2 linked regions of the Callithrix jacchus genome follow. Each later gene encodes a partner of the first gene's protein in a complex. Links are inferred from orthologs where the notes say so. Each region holds a gene or a part of one and is shown on either strand. Other genes may lie near its edges.

What was found.
Region 2: the proteins of EIF2B5 (region 1) and EIF2B3 are in contact, whole or in part, in a cryo-EM structure (PDB 7VLK), measured with the Homo sapiens proteins. The link is inferred for Callithrix jacchus from reciprocal best matches to the Homo sapiens genes EIF2B5 and EIF2B3. Residues at the interface, in NP_003898.2 of Homo sapiens: Pro190, Val202, Arg222, Arg223, Phe224, Ala225, Phe226, Pro227, Leu228, Phe231, Gln232, Ser234, Ser235, Asp236, Gly237, Val238, Glu239, Val240, Arg241, Tyr242, Asp243; in NP_065098.1 of Homo sapiens: Arg155, Phe157, Glu178, Glu179, Leu180, Val181, Ile182, Lys183, Gly184, Leu187, Gln188, Pro191, Arg192, Ile193, Arg194, Phe195, His196, Thr197, Gly198.

What each region holds. Positions count from the first base shown.
Region 1 is NC_133516.1:13,119,817-13,124,334, forward strand, and holds the start of EIF2B5 (translation initiation factor eIF2B subunit epsilon), read left to right. Parts: upstream 1-1,583; 5' UTR 1,584-1,613; coding exon 1,614-1,808; intron 1,809-2,867; coding exon 2,868-2,992; intron 2,993-4,194; coding exon 4,195-4,380; intron 4,381-4,466; coding exon 4,467-4,518. UniProt on the Homo sapiens protein: Acts as a component of the translation initiation factor 2B (eIF2B) complex, which catalyzes the exchange of GDP for GTP on eukaryotic initiation factor 2 (eIF2) gamma subunit.
Region 2 is NC_133508.1:81,689,977-81,693,788, forward strand, and holds part of EIF2B3 (translation initiation factor eIF2B subunit gamma), read right to left. Parts: intron 934-3,812; 5' UTR 925-933; coding exon 777-924; intron 1-776. UniProt on the Homo sapiens protein: Acts as a component of the translation initiation factor 2B (eIF2B) complex, which catalyzes the exchange of GDP for GTP on the eukaryotic initiation factor 2 (eIF2) complex gamma subunit.

The sequences.
Region 1 (4,518 bases):
CCCGGCCTCAAGTAAATTTCTAACAACAAAAAATAACAGTTTGAGAGAGTCTTCCTGAGATTTATCTATAAAAATCATATCCATATAGCTACCAGTCTACAGAATTTTAAGACCTAGATTTGGAGAGAGAGAGAGAATGTGTGTGTGTCCTATTCCTTTTCCCCCCCCCTCTACTTCTACCTCTGGATTTGCACATTCCTTTTCTACAACGTCCATTCATCTAACTGAAAACTTTTACTTAGTTGCCTTCTGCCTTTACTTTTCTAAGCTAAAATTTCCAAAATCAAATGGTTTTCGTTCCGCTCCTTAACGAGGGAAAAAATGACAGATTCGTCGGTCCCACGAGTCGGGCGCCGGAGCACGACGGGTTAAGTCGGAATCGCCACGTGGGAACAAGTCTCAGCCTCGCGGACTCCAAATCCCGACGTGCAGCGCGGGGCTGGATGGGAACAGTTCGCAGGAACTGCAGCAGCCTGTGGTGTGGACCCTGGACAGGCTCCGTGCAGAAAGGGCGCGATGCGTTACAGAAAAGCCCCTTGCCTCCTAAATGACGCCCAGGCTGCCTGCCTAGTTCTGCCGCTTTCCCACGGTCCCGCCCCTCTGCAGAGTTGATTTATTCCCTGCAGCCACCGCTTCTTTCCCCAAAAGAGAATAAGGTGCTGGTGCTCCTTCTCAAGCCTGGGGCCTTTACGCCTGCACTTTCCTCTGCCGGGAAATCTTCCTGCTTAACTCCAGTACAACTTACTGGTGTGCCTAGATCCACCCGCGTCTCCGCTCTGCTTAAGACACAGGAGGCTGATAGGCTGGATGAATGAATAGATGAAGACACAAAATAGCCACTGTTATCCCCACATAACTTGACAGCAAGACTGTGGAACTCTAAAATCACATAGGGTTCCAATACCAGTTCTTCCGCTTACTAGCTGGGTAAATGTCCTTCATCCCTCTGAGAGTTCAAGAAATGTTTGCTGAACGAATGAATAAGATGCTTTGCAGAGATATGTGACGAATTAAATGAGATGATGCTTGTATCATGCCTGGCCCACAATCAGCTCTCAATGGAATTATTAGTCCCCTTACTATATGCCACTTTCTCTATTTATGCAGGTTGTGGGTTTCTTGCAGCGGGGGGACATCTGGCTCGGTTCCATCTCCCCAAGGCGCTGGGTCCCCAGAATTTTCTAGAATGAATGCGGAGGGCTACATATTTCACATGCGTGGGGCGGGGAAACTGCTGGACGTTTACAGATTCCGGATGGCGCTGGCCCCTTCGCGGCGACCACAAATCCTATCACGCCGCAAGAATCTCGGCTTGTTCCCATACTAATGAAGGCCTACGATACTTGCAGACCGAGTATGACGTCTATGGGACCCCACCCCTACCCTGCGCCTCCACTGGCCGGGACAACTGTGACCCGTCCCCACTCCTCGCGCCTCCGGAATCAACCTCAGATCCCAGTGGGCGCCCCGAAAAGACGCATGCGCACTGCTCCCTCCTCGTCTCCTCCTTCCCTTCGTTAATTAGTCCTTCGCCTTTCAGGTGCAGGATCTTTTTGTCCCCTACTGCGTGCGGTGTCAGCTTCCTTGCGGAAGTGGTGGCCGTGGAGAAGAAGATGGCGGCCCCTGTGGTGGCGCCGCCTGGTGTGTTGGTTAGTCGGGCCAACAAGCGCAGCGGCGCGGGGTCGGGGGGCGGCGGTGGCGGGGGAGCCAGAGGGGCGGAGGAGGAACCGACGCCGCCCCTGCAAGCAGTTCTGGTGGCCGATAGCTTCGATCGCCGCTTCTTCCCCATCTCCAAGGACCTGCCTCGGGTGAGCCCCGCGCACGCGAGCAGCCAGAGGGCAGGGAGGTTGGCGGGGCTGGAGCAAGTTCTCCTTTCGGCTAACTAGTAAAGCTAACAAGTCCCCTGAAGGACTTGTGTCCATGCTGTTATCCTAAAACCGAGTTTATGTGGTTAGGAAGGAGGCAGAGGGTCTGTCTAAACCCTGGTGGCTGCTGACCAAGTGAGTGGCTGGCAGATTTGGGGCACTCGTAATGCTGTTCACTTCGGGTTTGAGAGGAAGAAAGAGCTAAATGTAGAAACAGCACTTGAGAGAAGCCTTCACGCGGGGATTCAGTGCCCCTAGAAGAGGCAGCGCCGCTTTTAACCTTGCAGATGACGGATGCTTAGGTGAAAAGAAACGACCTTTTGCCTCTGAAAGGGCTGTAATCATGCCTTAAAAAGAGGGGGCTAGGTCTCGGGCAGTGTACTTTTGTTTTTTCCTTCCAGGTTCAATGATAGTGCCATCTGTCGAAAGGACAAAATGGGTTTAGTGGTTGATTGCCATCTTGCCATCGCCCCCGAGTTGTCTAGACAATGGGGAACTGGACTCAGCTGGGTCGTTCAGCAGTCCTCAGTTCAGAGAGGGAACTACATTAGATTTAAGGAAAATCCTCCCTGATTCCCTCGAAAAAGGCTAATGGCTGTTCTTTTTTGAAAAGTGATCGGAGATGGCTAACCTCCGACTCTTAGAAAAGGATCAAGGAAGGAAATCTTATGGGGAGGAAGGCCTTAGCAGTCCTTAAATTTATGGAAATATGATTGATTTCCAGTATTGCCCTTTGCCAGCGGTGAACTGCCATTCTGTCACAGCTCTGTGTCAGATACAAGGCACGTAGATTCTGTACTTACCATCCCCAAATTGCAACATCTCAGACTCAGGCTTAGAGCATGGCCTGAACATCAATGGCAGGAATCTGTTACCTTTGAATTGGAAAGATACAGCAAAACTACACTGTTTGGAAATACTGACCTAAGAGTGAAAATTGTTGCGGTGGGGTACCCAGAGGGATTTGAGAACTCATTCTTCTTTCCATCTTCTGTCCTTCAGGTCCTCTTGCCCCTGGCCAATGTGGCGTTAATTGACTACACTCTGGAATTCCTGACTGCCACAGGTGTAAAGGAAACATTTGTCTTCTGTTGCTCGAAAGCTGCTCAAATCAAAGAACATTTACTGTAAGGCCCTGCACCATTTCTTTGCATATTTTGCCATCTTTTTCTAGTTTTTTCAGGAGGAATGTAACTAAGTAAGGGGAAATGTGAGAGGGGAAAACTGTCTACTCAAATGTCATTGTTAAGTTCTAAGGGTATTTTCTATGCTTATCAGGAGGTGAGCAGCTGAAACCTTGTATCTGTCTGTCTTGGGTTTTCTGTGACAAAGTTTAAAGAACAAACTTTGTTTTTTTTTTTCTGAATGTCACTTACACAGTTTGGTCCCAGTGGACTTGGCTTTTATGTAATGGCTTCAGTATGGAAGTTACAACAATAACATCTTTGTTTTTCTGCTGAGTTTCTAAATCTTGTTTGTTCTCACCTGCAAGGATATAAATGAGCTCCTTGTTGTCTTTGTATTCCACTGCCTAGGTCAGTGCCAGGCATGCAGTGAGCACTTACATGTTTGTTGAAATCTTGAAAAATAGGGAGTCTCATCACTTATGAAAATCCAGGAAATATAGACTAGGACATTAGCAGGGTCTCTATCAGACAGTTGCTAAATGTTATATGGACTGCAGAAGGGGAAAGCCGACATGAAGTGTGTTCCTAGGGTACTTAGTGTATTCTACGTTTCAGCAGGATTTTGAGTTCAAATCGATGTTTGGGGACAGGGGTCAAGGTATGGAGAGGAAATAACCATGTTTCCTAACCCATAAAACAAGACTGGTGGCCAGGCGCAGTGGCTCGTGCCTGTAATCCCAACACTTTGGGAGGACGAGGTGGGCAGATCACGAGGTCAAGAGATTGAGACCATCCTGGCCAACATGGTGAAACCCTGTCTCTGCTAAAAATACAAAAATTAGCTGGGCATGGTGGCACATGCCTGTAATCCCAGCTACTCGGGAGGCTGATGCAGGAGAATTGCTTGAACCTGGGAGGCAGAGGTTGCAGTGAGCCAATATCGCGCCACTGCACTCCAACCTGGCACCTGGCGACAGAGCGAGACTCTGTCTCAAAAAAAAAAAAAAAAACAAGACTGGTGAACACCAGATGCTGAAAGCATTAATTATAGTTCATAATTCTCTTTGAAGTTGAAGACGCTGGCAAGAACCCAAAAATGCCGCCCGAAAGGACTGAGAATGCTCAATGGGGGAGAAAAATAGCAAAGGCACTTATGATCTTTATGCTTGATATACTCATGCCCCTCACCCTTCTCCCTTTAGGAAGTCCAAGTGGTGCCGCCCCACATCTCTCAACGTGGTCCGAATAATTACATCAGCACTGTATCGATCACTGGGAGATGTCCTCCGTGATGTTGATGCCAAGGCCTTGGTGCACTCTGACTTCATTCTGGTGTATGGGGATGTCATCTCAAACATCAATATCACCAGAGCCCTTGAGGAACACAGGTCAGGATGAGAGAATGACAGGAGCAAGGATTAAAGACCAGCAGAGCCCTGAGTTTTTGCAGTTCTCTCCCTCCTGTCCTTTATAGGTTGAGACGGAAGCTAGAAAAAAATGTTTCTGTGATGACGATGATCTTCAAG
Region 2 (3,812 bases), on another chromosome or scaffold:
ACTGCACTCCAACCTGGGCAACAGGGTGACAAAATATTTTAAATTCATTCAATACAAAGAAAGAGCTATCAAGTTATCACCCCTTCCTATTGGAGGCAACTCTAATAATGGAATGAATACTGGATCACAAGACTAGGCCTCAGGCTTTGGCACCCTGATTTATTATATCTAAATATAGGGCACCTCAAACTCAATATGACCAAAGCTGAACTCATTATTTTCATTAAAATCTGTTCCTTGTTTCCTATTCCTTTTTCTACTTCATGGCATAATCATCTACCTAGTTACCCAAGCAAAAGTAGAAAGAATCACTAGATTTTAAGGTTCTAGAAGTCAGGGCCTGAGCTGTCTTTTCAATTCTGTGTACCTCCATGCTTAATAGATAACCTGGTACATAGTATCTCTATTACCTGGTACATAATATATATATGTTTTAAGTTTTTTTTTATAATAGAGATATTACCTAGTACATAATAGAGTCTCATCAACTACTGACTATGAGGCATTTAAGAGTCACAATCTGCTCTTTCTGATATTCGTACAGGGTTCATCTTGGATCATAGTGGACAACAGCTCCGTAACAACAACACTTAGTGCTATCCTCTCATCCTTTTTTCGCACAGCAATAGAGTACTCCTACATTCCTTATTTAAAGAGGCCAGTCTTCAGTCAATGAATTCTAGTTACCCTCTCTCACTATTATAATGCTGACAAATCATGGGGATCAAATCCCCTAAAAGTTTTATGAGTTCACAGCTCACTTTGTCATAGCTCACCTTCAAATCCAACACGCTCAAGCAGGTTCAATGGGTACCAAATTAAAGGTTTGTTCCCAACTGGAAGCAGAGGTTTGGGAATGCTGGAAGTTAGGTCTGTCATCCGAGATCCCCCACCTACTGCCATCACTACTGCTTGAAATTCCATTTTTACAAGCTACAAGAAAAAACACAGAAAAAACAATTAACAGAAAAAAACCAATGTAACAAAAATCAAAGCACACACACTACTAGCCTATTTTTATTTAGGTTACTGATACCCACTATGTCAAATGTATAACTCCCAACTCTAGCAATCAGAGTAAGAAAAGCTTAGCTGCAGATAAACATTATGTCTACCAATATATATTCTCAGTTCTATCCTTGGTAAAAGTGGGAGGATATGAATGAAAAAAAAATCTGGCCCTTGCCCTTGAGTTATTTACAATTAAGTGGAGAAGACAAATTCAGTAAATCACAATATATGTCATTAGTACCACAGATGAAATATATCAAAGATGCAATGGGCATACAATAAAGTGAACACCTAGTTTTCTTTGAAAACACAGGGAAGATTTTACAGGAAGGGATGCTTGAGCTGACTCTGAAGGACTAAGAGTTTACCGAGTAGGCTTCTGATGTGTGAATTTTTATTTTTTGAAAATATTACACTGGGTAAGGTGTCTCACATCTGTAATCCCAGCACTTTAGGAGGCTGAGGTGTGTGGATCACCTGAGCTCAGGAATTCAAGCCCAGCCTGGGCAGCATGCAAGACCCCATCTCTACCAAAAATGCAACAAATTAGCCAGGCATAGTGGCTCATGCCTGTGGTTCCAGCTATTTGGGAGGCTTAAGTGGGAGGATCACTTGAGCCTTGGGAGGCTGGTATTAAAGTGAGCCAAGATTGCACCACTGCACTCCAACCTGTGTGACAGAGTAAGATCTTATCTCAAAAAAAAAAAAGAAGGAAAATATTAAAAGATGTCTGACTACTAGAATTAACAGCAGAAACACAAGCATGTTAGGCATTTGAAAAGCATAAAATGACTTAAGTCTCCTCCAATAATTCAGCCATCGGCTCACCTTCTTACTCCTCCAATTATTAAAGATATCTATATCTGAACCTAGATTTACAGAACCCAATTATTAAAAACAAACCAAACTGTTAATTCCTGCTTTTCAAACTCAAGGTAATAAACCTATTTGACTTTGAAAATAATCTCTTTACAGAAACTACCACAGACCAGAGGCACAGTAAAAGGTCATAAATACTTATTTACTTATTTTTGGAGATGGTGTTTCACTCTTGTTGCCCAGGCTGGAGTGCAATGGCGCGATCTTGGCTCACCGCAACCTCTGCCTCCCACATTCAAGTGATTCTTCTGCCTCAGCCTCCCGAGTAGCTGGGATTACAGGCATGGGCCACCAGGTCCGGATAATTTTGTATTTTTAGTAGAGATGGGGTTTCACCATGATGGCCAGGTTGGTCTCAAACTCCTAACCTCAGGTGATCTACCTGATTCGGCCTCCCAAAGTGCTAGGATTACAGGCATGAGTCAGTGTGCCCAGCCATAAAAATTATTTGTTTAGAGACAGGCTCTCACTTTGTTGCCCAGTCTGGAAGTGCAGTGGCATGATCACGGCTCACTGCAGCCTCGACCTCCTGCCCCAGCCTCTGGAGTAGCTGGGACATGTGGGTGCCGCCATGCCTAGCTAATTCCATTTTTTTTTCTTCAATAAGATGGAGTTTCACACTTATTGCCCAGGCTGGAGTGCAGTGGCACAATCTTGGCTCACTGCAATCTCTGCCTCCCAGGTTCAAACGATTCTCCTGCCTCAGCCTCTCCCGAGTAGCTGGGACTACAGACATACGCCACCACACCTGCCTAATTTTGTATATTTAGTAGAGATGGGGTTTTTCTATGTTGGTTAGGCTGGTCTCGAACTCCCAACCTCAGGTGATCCACCCACCTTGGTTTCCCAAAGTGTTAGGATTACAGGCCTGAGCCACTGTGCCCAGCCGCCTGGCTAATTCTTTTAATTTTTTATAGAGATGGGGTTTCAATATGCCGTCCAGGCTGGTCTCAAACTCCTGGCCTCAAGCCTCCTCCCTGGGCCTCCCAAAGTGCTGGGATTAGAGGCATGAACCACTGCGCCTGACCAATCTTTAATGATTTAAACTGAAAGTACTCTTCTCTGATTTACAGCAATGATGTAATTTAAAAAATAAATGTTAAAATGTAACATTCAAAAGAAAGAATCTATTTGACATCAAATTGCCAAATAATGTTGCAACTTTACTATAATTATAATCACTCCTGGACCCCCCCATACACATCAACATCTAACGTGCAGCACTTATCACCTACTATACCCAAGGCACAAAGTGAAGGCTCTTGCATAACATTCACAATGTAAAGATATAGTCATTTTGATTCTAGCAAGCATTGCCTCAGACTGGAATTTAATTTCTCTTTGGTGCTATATAACATTCACCACATCTAATGTTATTATGAAGACCACTGGACCCTTAAGAGTCAAAGGATGGGCAGGGCGTGGTGGCTTACACCTGTAATGTCAGCACTTGGGGAGGCAAGGTGGGCGGATCATCTGAGGTCAGGACTTCAAGAGCAGCTTGGTGAAATTCTGTCTCTATTAAAAATATTTTAGGGCCGGGGGCGGTGGCTCACACCTGTAATCCCAGCACTTTGGGAGGCCGAGGCGGGCGGATCACGAGGTGGGCGGATCACGAGGTCAAGAGATCAAGACCATCCTGGTCAACATGGTGAAACCCCGTCTCTACTAAAAATACAAAAAATTAGCTGGGCATGGTGGCACGTGCCTGTAATCCCAGCTACTCGGGAGGCTGAGGCAGGAGAATTGCCTGAACCCAGGAGGCGGAGGTTGTGGTGAGCCAAGATCGCGCCATTGCACTCCAGCCTGGGTAACAAGAGTGAAACTCCGTCTCAAAAAAAAAAATTTTTTTAATTAGTCAGGCATGGTGGCGAGAACCAGTAATCCTAGGTGCTCAGGAGGCTGAGGCAGAAGAATCGCCT